Danio rerio: one gene and its partner. Each later gene encodes a partner of the first gene's protein in a complex. Links are inferred from orthologs where the notes say so. Each region holds a gene or a part of one and is shown on either strand. Other genes may lie near its edges.

What was found.
Region 2: stk24b (region 1) and strn4 share a complex: the UniProt entries of both Homo sapiens proteins name them as parts of the core of STRIPAK complex. The link is inferred for Danio rerio from reciprocal best matches to the Homo sapiens genes STK24 and STRN4.

Annotation. Positions count from the first base shown.
Region 1 is NC_133181.1:13,496,979-13,504,275, reverse strand, and holds part of stk24b (serine/threonine-protein kinase 24), read right to left. Parts: intron 2,880-7,297; coding exon 2,722-2,879; intron 2,013-2,721; coding exon 1,827-2,012; intron 553-1,826; coding exon 407-552; intron 1-406. UniProt on the Homo sapiens protein: Serine/threonine-protein kinase that acts on both serine and threonine residues and promotes apoptosis in response to stress stimuli and caspase activation.
Region 2 is NC_133190.1:13,788,305-13,795,601, reverse strand, and holds part of strn4 (striatin-4), read right to left. Parts: intron 7,273-7,297; coding exon 7,225-7,272; intron 4,944-7,224; coding exon 4,822-4,943; intron 4,133-4,821; coding exon 3,965-4,132; intron 3,893-3,964; coding exon 3,752-3,892; intron 1,518-3,751; coding exon 1,419-1,517; intron 1-1,418. UniProt on the Homo sapiens protein: Calmodulin-binding scaffolding protein which is the center of the striatin-interacting phosphatase and kinase (STRIPAK) complexes.

The DNA of each region.
Region 1 (7,297 bases):
GTCATTTACACACCTTTATGTTGGTAAAAAAACAAACAAACTGTATGTCGTTATCTAGAATGGATGATATTTTGAGAAATGTTTTATTGTTTTGTTTTTTATATACTATAAAAGCTAAAGGGATCTAATATTGTTTTGATTCTAATGTTCTTAAATATAATATAATATAATGTAATATAATATAATATAATATAATATAATATAATATAATATAATATAATATAATATAACATAACATAACATAATAATATAAAATAATAGAATAGAATAGAATATTTTTTTGAAAAATAAAGAAAAACATACTATTAAGAAATGACTTAAGGGTGAATTATTGACGCCAAATTAATAATTTTTAAGCAGACAATTGTATGAAATGTAAATGTGAAAGTAATTTTAGCAGTCTTACGAGTCAGATTCATCAGAACTGGACTCTGCTCTCGACTGTTCGGCTTTCCATCGCTTGTATTTGTCGATGAGCTCCGTCAGGTAGGATGTTTTCTTCGCAAAGCGCACAATGAGCTTGTGTTTGAGCAACTCTTTGGCTGTCGGTCTCTGAGGAAGAAGACAGAAAGACACAGAAACCATCACGACAGGTCCTATGAAACAAAACCTCATTGCTAATGCCTGATTCAACAGTACCTCAAGGATTTTAAAATGATCTTTTTTATTTTTATTTTTTAGTTTTGCAATACTTGCAGCAAATTTTACACCACTTCTATTATTGCTTTGAGGTGAAAATATATACAAACTTACTCCTCTTAATTTTTTGACCTCAAGAAAATTGATCTCTTTAATTTATATAAAGGAAAACTAGAGGTTACCCATAAATCCTGCTGTATCATATTTAAAAATGAAACCAGTTGTTTGAAGTGTCATCCATGTTGTTTGACCGATATGACAGTTGATGGAAATTATGCAGAGAATGCATGCTTATGTGTGTGTACGTGAGAGAGAAAAAGAGAGAGGGCTACGCTTATGACGATTATATACAATAAATAGAAGTTTATGAATCCGCTTTGCCATAACGTCACATGACGCAGATCACACATCAAAGGAAGAGTGTGTATGTGACAACTCAAGGCTTTACACAGCACACAAGCACATTGTGTTCGCAAATACTGTTTTCGTTTTCTTTTTGTACTTTTTTATTTATTGGTATTTAACAAGACCATGCACGGTGCAGAATACGAAATTATAGAGCGTCTTAGTTTAAACCGACTCTTACTTTCCCATAAAACTAGATATTATAATACATATACTTCAGAATAATTAAGAAATGACAGAAACCAATCATACCTTCCCACTACTATACAAAAAAAGAATTAAAACATTCACACAATTACTTCATGTTGTCCCAACACAAACCGATCAATTTAACTTAATTGATTAAACTAATTTAAGTGGATTGAACGTAAAAAAAATTAAGTTGTCCCCCAAAAAAAACTCAAGAATTGTGATGTTTCAGTTTGTTTTAAATAAGTTGTTTGAACAAGCAGCAAAATTTACTTTGTGTAACGTTTTTCAATGTACAACTATGCAGATTGCGCACTGTGGTGTGACAGGAATTCAAACACTGTGCTGACCGCTCAAAATAAGAGAAATCTACGACTATGTTGTGAAATTTTGTGACATTTTGCGTTAAATTCAGAATTCGCTGGGATCGCGAAATCCTGGAGGGTCTGTTTCAGGAACAAATATAGCACATGTCTAAATGAAAATGACCTCAGCAGCAAAAACAGAACAAATTGTTTTGCCAGAAAGATCAGTGAACGAGTTAAAAAGGATATGGAAAATGACCTCTGGGAGTCCCCAAAAAACATACTCACAAAACTGGGCTCTTTGTTTAGACAGGCCTCCACAAACTCTTTGAGCGGTTTGCAGTAGTTGCCCTCCAGTGTGGGGGGGTTGTTCTTTGGAATGAGGAACAGCACCTTCATTGGATGTAGGTCGGAGTGGGGGGGCTCTCCTTTAGCCAGCTCAATCGCCGTGATGCCCAATGACCAAATATCAGCCTGAGAACAAACACAACGTTTTCATGACCAGGGCCCGGATGCATGTTAAAGACCCCATGAAATAAAAAAAAGTTGTTTTTTTAGGTGTTAGTATTAGTATTGCTAGTTTTTAGGATATCTATAAGCTAGTGCGCAGTTAATCAGTGACAAAATTCGTGTTTAGAAGATACAAAACTGACATATACATGTAAAGCTTGTAGTTCGTCACTTCTGCCTAAATGAATCAACGGATTTATTCATGTTACCTCATACTTTAGTTTCTTATTAAATCTTGACCAATCAAATGATCTCTAGTATCTGACATGCCCCGCCCCCTTCAAGACGCTTCTCATTTGCTTTTCATTTGATCAGCTTGATCCCAACCACTTTCACTGGCAGCGCTGTGATGAAAACAAAATGCTATTGGCTGTTTTTTTTTATAAAAGGGAGGAGCTACCCCATGTCTCAGTCCCACCCTCTCTCTTTATGTGTCAGTTGAGATTACATCAAACATCGAATAAAATTGCACATTTTAAAGCACTTCACGGGTTCTCTAAGGACTTTCATGCAACCAGACCCAGTCCACTTCCAAGTCACTTGATGAAATCACATCACAATGATTCACTTGGGGAAAAATCTAACAAGTAGTCACGATCAACAGCAGATCCAGACGTCTGGTGCAGTGACTGATCTGCAGCACAGCCCTTGACTTTTGTTCAGTGGCTCTCACCTTTGAATCATAAGCGGACTGTTTGATGACCTCAGGTGCCATCCAGAAGGGTGTGCCCACGAAAGTGTTCCGCTTGATCTGTGTGTCCGTGAGCTGACCGGCCACACCGAAATCTGCCAGCTTCACCTCCCCTTGCTCCGACAATAATACATTTGCGGCTAAAAAAAAGAAATGAGAAAAGACAGTGTGAGGGAGAGTGTATGATAACTTCAGAAATGCAACATTTATGTCAAACTGGGGCCCCAAATGGGGTGCATAGAAAATAGGGGTGTAACGGATCACGGTTTATCACTGTTTGTTTAGCCTGCAATTATGCATTCAGTGTAAAGCTGCAAGATTAAACATTTAAAGATCGTGATCTCAATTCAACCCCACGCAACATGTATGATAAATGGTGATGATTTGCATGTTTGTTCCTTCGAAAGGGCTGCATTCAAATCTGTGTTTGATCGAGAGAGATACTGTTCTTACCCTTTTTCAGTTCGTTACAAAATTAAATAACACAATAGTACTGAGAGAACAGTTTATAGTTCAGATATAAACACACTGATGTTTATGGTAAAGATAAAAATCACAGTTTGATGGAACTTGACGCTAGTGAATGTTGTAGCAATTACACTCTGTTACCACCGGGTGGCGATAAACAACCTTTAAAACTATAGCACTGAATAGGTTTCCAAAAATGATAACCTGCATATGGCTATTTATTTAAATGGATAACATCGTATGTTATCAACTTATTGTATTATTGTACACATTTGCTTTACTAAAAAAAATGTAATATATTTTTATGTCGTTTTAATTTGATGTTTTTCCCTTCACAGTATTAATCATTTAAAAAAATTACAACTGTAAAGTTGTAAAATCTGATACATGCAAATAATACAGCCACTAGGGATGTAACGATTCATTGTGAGCAGGTTAAAAATTTATTCAAATATGGGACGATTGAAACCGGTTAAAATGTTAAAAGAATCGCAATACATATTTGAACATAGGGGGCGCTGTGTTATAATATAATATAAATGGAAAGCAAATGACATTTGTCCCTTTTTTTGCTGATCCGAAAAATGGTTCAATCAGTGACTCAAAAACCGTAGTGTAAATAAAATTAAATAATTGGTGATTCAAACCAGTAGAAATGTTGAACAAATCGCGATACATTTTTTCTAACAGAGGGGGCACTTTGTTATAATATAATATAAATGGAAAGCAAATGACATTTCTTCAACTTAGAATTATAAGGTTCTATCTGCGTTCTGAATGATTTTGAGATATTGAGCTTCAAAGTTTTTGCATTTCATAGCAAACAGTAAGTGTGTAACATTGTTTTTTTTAAATTAAAAAATGTTCAAATGTAAACAACTTATTTACATTATGGGATGTTTTTTTATAAGAATATGTCAATAACTCAATTTTGTTAAAAATGTCAGATAGAGCCTTATAATTCTAAGGTGACTATTTGGGTCTCTAAACCGAAAACAATTCAGTGACTCAAAATCCGCAGTGTAAATCGATTTAAATATGCAACGATTTAAACCGGAAATGTTGAACGAATCGTGATACATTTTTTGAAGAGAGGGGGCGCTGTGTTAAAATATAATATAAATGGAAAGCAAATGACGTGTGTCTGCTTTTTTGCTGAACCGAAAAATAGTATGATTCATAACTCAAAAAACGTAATGTAAATAGATTTAAATATGTGACAATTCAAACCGATAGAAATGTTGAACGAATCCCAATACATTTTTTAAACAGAGGGGGCGCTGTGTTATAATATAAATGGAAAGCAAATGACATGTGTGTCTCCTTTTATGCTGAACTGAAAAATAGTCCAATACATGGCTCGAAAACCGTAGTGTAAATCGATTTAAATATGTGACAATTCAAAACGGTAGAAATGTTGAACAGGAAAATTTAAACCCTAGTCCCATGCACATACACTGTAGAAAGAAAAAGAGGAAGACAAACACTGTAGCAATTTCCAGTTGAATCATGTCACGAAGACGCTGTGCTCTGAAGTGTGAGGGAAAGTTTCTCTACCCAAAGATGAGGCTGTGAAAAGTGAGTGGCTGAAGATTATTTTTGCAAGAATACCTCAGCATTATAGCCCCAGCCCTGTGCATTTTTCTAACGAGTGCTTTAGCAGTCTACACCCTTACAACGGGGGATTCATCAGCCGTTGGTTAAAGGAAGGATCCGAAAAGACTATTGATGTGTGGGACTTTGTCAGAGCTTGAAAGGAACTTTACAGTACACAGTTCATGGATCGGTTTCTTTTTTTTTTTTTTCAGATTGTTGGTTTAGTGTTTCAACTTTCAAGATTCATTTGTGTTTGTTTGTTTTCTCTCTAGTTCTTACTGTGATTCATGACACTATATTGTGTAATAGTTCTAAGGTATGTGACCAATAAATGAATCGTGAACCATCAGTAAAAGAGTCAATCATCTTTTAACCAGGATACTACAGTACACATTTGCTTTACTAATATATATATATATATATATATATATATATATATATATATATATATATATATATATATATATATATATATATATATATATATATATATATATATAAATAAAATATATATATATATATATATATATATATATATATATATATATATATAAAATAAATAAATATATATATATATATATAAATAAATATATATATATATATATATATATATATATATATATATATAAATAAATATATATATATATATATATAAATAAATATATATATATATATATATATATATATATATATATATATATATGAATGAATGAATAAATGAATGAATGAATGAATGAATATATATATATATATATATATATATATATATATATATATATATATATATATATATATATTTATATATATATATTAGTAAAGCAAATGTGTACTGTAGTATCCTGGTTAAAAGATGATTGACTCTTTTACTGATGGTTCACGATTTTACGAACTTTACATTTTAAAATCTGATATATGCAAATAATAAAGTCACATAACAGATTACAAACAAATCATAGAAGCTGAATAACACCAAGGCAAATATCTGGTGTCAAAATATGTCTGAATAAATTAAATCTTCTTCTGTCTATCTGGACCAACAAACATTCAAGTCACAGCAGATATGTGCTTTTTCATTGGACTCTGAATAAAACTGACCGACCAGTAAGATTTGGTTGCACAGATCTGCTAATGTTACATAAAACCGCAACTTCAAAGTGCTCCATTTTGCTAAGCGACAGTAAACGGCAGTGGAAGAATCCATAATTGGCTCTCATCTCTGTGCTCTTGCATTTCCCGTTATTTGATCACGGTGAAATTAAATAAAATCTGAACGGCTGTATGAAAAGATGTAAATACTGTTAGTGCTCATTTCTAAACGATGCAGGTGACAGATCTGACTGTTGAACAGTACTTTGTGTAGCACAGAATCTAGCATAACAGCTGTATTTATTATGTAGTTTTTTACGCGTTGTTATAAGTAAACTAATCAAGTGCAAACTGGATATCATTCTTATGTTGAACAAGTGTTTGTAAACATGTCTCAATAACCTTGCTATCAAAATCTAAAAAATGCTCTAAAGTAGCTTTATTATGCTTTGTAAACCTTCAGCTTCCTATGAGCTTGAAAAGGTTACAAAGCATATCACAATGTCCACTCTAAACTGGGCTTACTTTTACATGTGAACCATGCTAGCAAAATGAGCAGAAAACATGCCGACTATAAGCTAAGATCAAAATAAAAAAAATATGTCAACTGTGGTAGTTGTTTTTACAAAAAAAATAAAAATAACTAAGCCCCTATAAAATCCTTTATATTTGCACGTCTTCTGACAGTGTGCAACATGCACTTTTGAATAAATTAAGCATCACAGTCTGGTTCTTGTTCAAACACTAAAAATAAACATGAGAAATCTACACAAATTTATGGAATTCACTAGATGTTTTGAGAAAATTTTTACTGCATAAGTTCATTAAAAACAATCTGAATTTGAAGCGCATCACATACAGATGGCTAAATTCTGAACCCACTACTACGGTAGACGGGAAGTGCAAAACAACATTACAAAGTGTGAAACACTTTTACAAAGCTCGAGACAAATTTACATTTTGAAAAACGTTTTACCTATCATCAGACACAATTACATAGGAAAAACAATTTTACCAAGGATGAAACAAATTTACATTTTAGAAAAAAAAATTAACAAGACGCAAAACAATTTTACAAGTCTCAAAACAAATTTACAATTACAGATTCCTTACGCAAAGGGAATGTACCACACAGCGGAAGTGGCGTAGAATGTGTTAACATGTTGTTATCTCTCTACTTTGTTGACCTCTAAGAAGGTTATCCGGGTTACAAATGAGAGAGCGCGCAGGGGCGGGGTTGGTGTTGGGAAAAGTTCAGTTGAAGATGTCTCGTGTGTGCGAGGAGGGATTGAACAAAATAAAGTGTGCTTACTAAATAAACGTTGTCTTTATTAAACTTTACAGAATGTACCACACACCGGGAATGATGCGGGGAAAAGTTTTGTTGTTGGTGATCGTGGTAAATTCG
Region 2 (7,297 bases), on another chromosome or scaffold:
CTTGATATTTGCATTTGTTAAACACAGATTTGAATGCAGCAATTCGAAGGAATAATAAACATGGAAATCACCATCGTTTACAATTTATGTTGCCTGGATGTTGAGATCCTGATCTTTTAATTAATCGTGCAGCTTGCACTGAATGCATTAATGTGACAAAACACCTTTAATAACCTAAGAAACCCACCATAACTTTTTGTCATGATTATATTTTACAGAAAAGCCTAAATGCTATCATTTTTGTGATTGAATAAGGTGATTTCTCTGTGATAATTACAATTTTAGGATTAATCTACGAAAATATATATGTATATTATTCCGTGGGTTACACGAGTTCTGAACCGTGGGTTGTGACCCATACAAATTACAGATCAACCGTTATCCATTACACACCTAAACTTAAGTTTTCAGCATTTTTCTAAATATCTTCTTTTGCTTTTAACAGAAGAAAGTTTTGTGACAAGTGAATGATGAGTAAATGATGACAGAATTTTCGTGTTGTGTGAACCATCCCTTTAAATGAATAAAGCCATTTTAAAATTGAATTAAAATGCAACAAAAGAAACAACTGTGAAAAAGGGTTGATATAGTTACCTAAATCTAAAACCTTAAAATTATCCACTGTTAATCTACAAGTTACTTAGAATCAATAAAATAACTAATTAATATTAACATAATAACTTTCCACATTAGTTAAGACCAAATAGATTAAAAAAATTACCAAAAGTCATAATTTAAAGTATTTCTGTTACAAGACAGGCTGAAAAACATGTGAAATCTAGATTAACCTCACTAGACGAACATTCAAGCGTCCACACAGCCACAACAAACCAATAAAAGCAGCCTAATGTGCCTGAATACAAAGCCACAGGTATCACTCCACTGACTTCATGCTTCCAGTGCATTTTCTGCGCAGGCTAATCTTTCACACCAACAATGTCATCCTCTTCTCTTAAAGTACTCTGGCTTTAGAAACTGGCGAGTAAAGGTTGATGCCTGGCCCAGATTCAATTGAGGTTTATTTAATATTTTTTACACTAAAGTTTTTTTTTTTTTTTTTTTTTACTGCTTTTGGAGGTCTGTTGTGATTACACGCTAGCAGAGTCAAATAGCTTTGGTGGTGTATTTACAGAACCGACAGAGCACAGCTGGAAAATACACAGCGTTATTATTAACAGAAAAACTGCACTCCACACACGGACGCACATTGGTTTTTCATGCTTTTAACTGTAGACTGTATATTTTGACAACCAACTCTACGCTCACAATAAAACATGCTTTTACTTTTTCAAAATACTTCATTCTGGATCATTTATAAGCCGTTATCCTCATGGGGTTCAAAAATTTTCATACAAGGTTAAAAAAGACTGGTATTGCTATACTTGTGGGGATGTGATGAATACCAAAAGCACACACACCTGTGTTGTTGTCCAGGAAGCGGATGGTGCGGTTCTCATGGGCTGTAATGGAGATGGGTTGGGACGGATGACTGACCACACGGTTAATCAGCTCGCTGCCTGCAGGAGACATGAACAAAAACAGTATTTTAGTATTACTGTGCAGTAGATGACAAATCCATTAGAAACTGTCTTCACAGCTTCATAGACCAGCAATCATATTCAAGTAACATTATGATGCAGGTCAGGAATTATTTCACGCATTACATCATATAATATTAGTTATATTTCTTCCTATATCTATTATTTTTATGTATATATATATATATATATATATATATATATATATATATATATATATATATATATATATATATATAATACAAATAACAAATTACACCTGCAAATAACACTACTCGTACAGCCTTCTCAACCTTCTGTATTACTCTGCCCACATAGAGTGACAGCATATCAATAAACTCACTACAGTTCGACAAATATTGCACCTGTTGGACAACATATTGTACTTTTGAGGCTTTTTTAGGCAAGAATGTAGTTGTTTAGATTGAATCTATGCAGTTTATCTATAGGGATAGCGACTGTTTTTTAAATATTTATAAATTCTGAGATTCAGTGAGTCGACATCCATCAGCCTGTCATACTGAGCACAGCAAAGACAATTGACATTCTGCCACAAGATGGCGACACAGACCACATAATACAGGAGTGTCCAAACTCTGTCCTGGAGGGACGGTGTCCAGCAGCTTTTAGCCTCAACTCATCTCAACACACCTGCAAGGATGTTTCTAAAAAGAGCTTGATTAGCTAGCCCAGGTGTGTCTGATAGGTGTTGGAACTAAACTTTGCAGGACACTGGCCCTCCAGGACCGAGATTGGACATGCCTGGCATAATAAGTGCTTAAGAAGAAAAGATTGGCGTATTTTCAAACTGAAAATACAGCAGATCAAATCATTTTAAAACAGGTAAGTGACATTCTAAGTCTATCTCTTTCTTTTGTATGTTGTAGTGCTGTATTTATACCATAGTAATCTAGTAGTGCTTGCGTTGCTTTGGCTTTTTCGGGGTTAATTATTCTGATCTGCAACAGAGATATACTGGAAAATTTCTGTAGAGTGATGGAATTTCATGCCGTTCAGCCTTATAATGTTAAAATGTGAGCAAAATCCCCTGTTTTGTCATCACTTTAGATATAACGCTAAGGAATCATTTAAGTCATAGCTGTAAAGTGACATTTGAAGTAGCACAGATTTCTGCTGTTCTGATGTCAGCTGCAGTTGCAAATGAATGGCAAAAGTAAATCCTCATACAAAAGGGTTTTTGATTTTTTTTTAATATGATTACGATTGTGCCGTCAAACTGTTCGATAAACACAATATCACACTCATAGCAGTGTGATTTGGCTGTACATTGTCTCCGGTGGGACATTAAGGCACTCTGCCCGTATGTCTCCCACCAGTGCTGATATACAGCCACATCGCACTGCTACTCATGTGATATTGCTCATATATATATATATACACATACACATGCATGTGTGTGTTTGTGGTGTGCACATGTAATAAGTCAATTCTAATAAATAATTCTAGAACATTTAAAAACAATGTCAACATTACTTTTAAATATTCAATTCTAATAAATAATTCTAGAACATTTAAAAACAATGTCAACATTATTTTTAATTATTCAAAGTTTAGGACATTTTTACATAATAATACCTATAACTATAAATACTATATAAAACTATTTTAACTCATCCTTATTTATTCTGTTAAGTAATGCTGATAATAATAATAATAATAATGATGATACATATGATAATAGTTGACATGCACATAAGTAATTTAAAATATTTCAGAAGGCTTATTTATGAGAATTACTTTGTGTACATTTTTGATTATAATATGTATAATATGATAGATTAATAAAAATAATTATATTTCTCACAACTAACATTTGATTTGCTTAAAGTTTTCATTAATTTTAGCCATTAACCTGGCAAACAGAAACAAAACAAAAATATGTACTGTTTATCTCGCAATAAAAGTGTAGTATGAATTATTCATTTGCATATAAACACACATATTACACAGATACACCCTTTACACATCTTTAAACTGCTAAAATGTAAAATGTAAATATAAATATAGCAAACTACATAGCAATCAATCTATTTGCATCCTTCTTTAAGGATCATATATGACAATCATTTAACAATATAACTGAACAATTCAATTAATTTATAAACAATTCTATTTTCCAAAGCCTTTCAAAACGTGTTTAACGCAGAGTAATATTTTTCTGGATGTCATTTCCAGTATGAACAGCCTTTTACCATCTTTAGTCTGAGTCTCCAGGACCATGATACTTTGCTCTGTGTTAAGGTCATAAAGCAGAGTCTCGCCCCCATCGAAAGACACCACGACCTGGGACGGGTCTGCATTTACAAAGGCAACCGAGGTGGGAGTGCCATGTTCTGGAAAAACAAAAAGTCAATTAGCCAAAAAAAACACACACACTTACAGTACAAACAAACAACACTCCTCACCTTTCTCCTTGTTGAAGACAGAAACACACGGGGAAGAATTATGAGGGTCCCAGATGCGCACTGTCCCATCGGCGGAGCAGGAGGCCAAACGCTGTAGGCTGGAGGAGAAGGCCAATCCCCAGACAGCGTCCTCGTGGCCTGACAAAACACTACTCTCCACACCAGGATCTGAAAATAAAACACTGTTACTGGATGTCCTGCGTATTGTATGTGTGTGAGGTTATTTCATTTACAAACAGTGCCCTCTGGAGGACTGCACAGAAACTCAAGCAAAAACCTCTGTCTTTTACAGTGACACTGTGAGAGATTTTATCAAACTCAGAATGTTATTGAAGTTTGCATATTTTGGATTGATTAATGAAACTTTGGTTTGTACACTTCTCAATATGGGCTAGTGTTTGTGAATGTTAAACTGCAAAAGGAGTTGTTAGACTATTTAAAAAGATTTTGACAAACATAGTAGAATTCTCTGTTTAATAATCACAATTTTACAGAAGTTTTAGCAGCAAGCCAGATAAAATAAATACATTAAAGATGTAAAAAGTAAAACAAACAGACTAAAAAATCTGTTTAAAATTGTAAAATCATAAATCCAAAACAAAAAAAAAGTTTCCATATATATTTTTGTGAAATTTGGGTTACTGCATAATTGAATTAAAGAAAAGAAAAATGAAAAAGCTGCGTGAAAATGCCAAAAGCTACAAAAAGTCTTATTTTGGGTAGTTTTTTTAGTAAATGGTGTAAATACATTTTTCTCTATGTATGCAAAATAAAAATAATGTTAAATACGCAGATAGATGGATGGATAGACAGACAGACAGACAGACAGACAGACATGCAGCATTAAGTAGACATGCCATAGTTGTCGTAAGGATCCACGTTGAGGTCTGGGATTTTCCATCCACGAATGGTGCCATCCAGACCCCCGCTGAAGCATGATTCTCCTTCCTCTCCCATAGCCAGAGAAAGAACAGCACCACTAAACCAAACCCAATCAAAAACAAAATGATACATAAAATTAAGAATCAATGTATACATTTTAATAGTTAACTTTTTTACTGAAAAAACTTTTTTACTCCTGAAATTCAACTCATAATTACACACACCTTTCATTTAGTCATGAACCTAACCATTTCAAAACTTTATGAAATTTAAAATATTTGTTCTGACAAAACATTACACATATTACTTATACATATTACTAAATACAGTTTCCACTCTTTCATGACACTAAATTCAAGGACTTTTTAAATCAATAATATTTTACATCAAGCACCTTTGTAATTCACACGCCCAGCATATATAGACTAGCACCATGAATGTCCTTCCTTTACTTAACATTTCACCTATATTTAATATTTGCATTAAAACGCTTGATGAAAAAGGTCAACATTTTAAAAAAATGGCATTAAAAACATCATCATTATTACATTTTAAAGTCATGTTCAAAGAACTTCAATATAATAAGTTGACTTTAATCCTGGCAATATTCAAATGTGGTTCCTAAAATATTGCTAAAATTCATTATTTGTCATAGTTCATGTATAAGATTGAAATATAAGTTTTTAAATAAATGATATTCTTAGCTTTTTTGTTCATTTTTTGAAAGTACCACAGGACAATTGTTGAAATAACACCATCAACTTTAAATTTAAACATTTTCAAGAATCTACGTTTGTTTTTAAGTAATTTCAAGGCTTTGAATCCGTATGTCTAAAAATCAAGCACTTCGAAAAACTTTTAAGAAATGTGGGAACCCTGTAAATATGTCCAAATAAATGTGATCTTCGGGTGTACTTTCTAATGATTATCAATAAAATTCACTCACAACTGTGTGACAAACATGGAAAGATTAAATCTACTTTAAGCAAAATTAAAACAAAATTAAATAAAAATAAACTTTCCCAGTGATGGGTTGCAGCTGGAAGGGCAACTGCTGCATAAAACATTTGCTGGATAAGTGGCCGGCTCATTCTGCTGTGGTGACCCCAGACTAATAAAGAGACTAAGCCGAAAAGAAAATATATGTATGAATGAAAATAAAATAACATCAAGCCTTTTGACACCTAAAAGGACCACATACGCAGGTCCAAAATGACTCAAACATAAAAGGTGTAACCTTAAAAAATGTAATAAAACATAACAAAAAATAAAATACACAAAACTAAACATAACAAAAAACAAGAGAGCAAAACAATAAATAAAATGACAACACAAGACAAAACAAAACATAAAATTTAACAAAAAAACTAAAACAAAAACTAGACAAGAACAAAACACTAAATGAAACACCATAAAATCAAGATTTTGTACATACATACGAATAATAACAATACAAAAATACAATACAAAGCAACAAAAAATAAAATGACATCACACACACAAAATAAATAAATAAAAAATATTAACTAAAAGCACAGCACAAAAATCAAGATTTTTGACACAGGACCCCATACATACCCCCTCCCCCCTTCAAAAAAATTACTCAAACATAAACTTTATAAAATCTTTAAATAATTATGCATAATGTATGCACGTATGTACGTACATATAAAAAAAACTGTTAAAATAAATGAAATAATGCTAAATAATTTAGGTAGGTCTGTACTAGAACTGCATAATATTGGAAAAATTAAACATTGTGATTTTTTTGTTTTGCTGCAACATATATTGTGATATGATTCTAATTTCAACAGATGATTTAAATAGCTATGTTTTGGAAGATTTCATTTATTTAGATCAACAGAGATGAGATCAAGTCTTTTTTATGAAGTGATATTATAATAAATTCCAATCAAAAATAAATAAATAAACTGCTTTATGGTTTTCTGAGGTGTCTAATGGTATTCAAGTACAAAAATCAAATGTCAAATAGCAGATCGTCAATGTATAAATAATTTAAAACAATATAATATTTAATAATATACTATTTTTTTAATAATAATATTAATATATATATATATATATATATATATATATATATATATATATATAATATTTAATTAAAATATTTAACAAATAATCTTGCAATGTGTGTATTGAAGACGCACACATTGCGATATCAATCATCAAATCATACATTGTTCATCCCTAGTTTATACTAATAACTTTGCAGTTTTGTTTTTAAAGAAATGGGTCAGAAATGACCTGAATACATCATGACAGCGACTGAGTTTTAGACTCATGATTTTGCCTAAAGCACCAGACAGAGTTTGTTAGCTGTGGCTCATGTTATGTGATTTTCAGCTGGACTCGCTCACCTGTGTGCTCGGAAAGTATAAATAGGCTCAACGTCCAGCGCTGCATTTCTGTGAAAACACAAACGAGACGCTC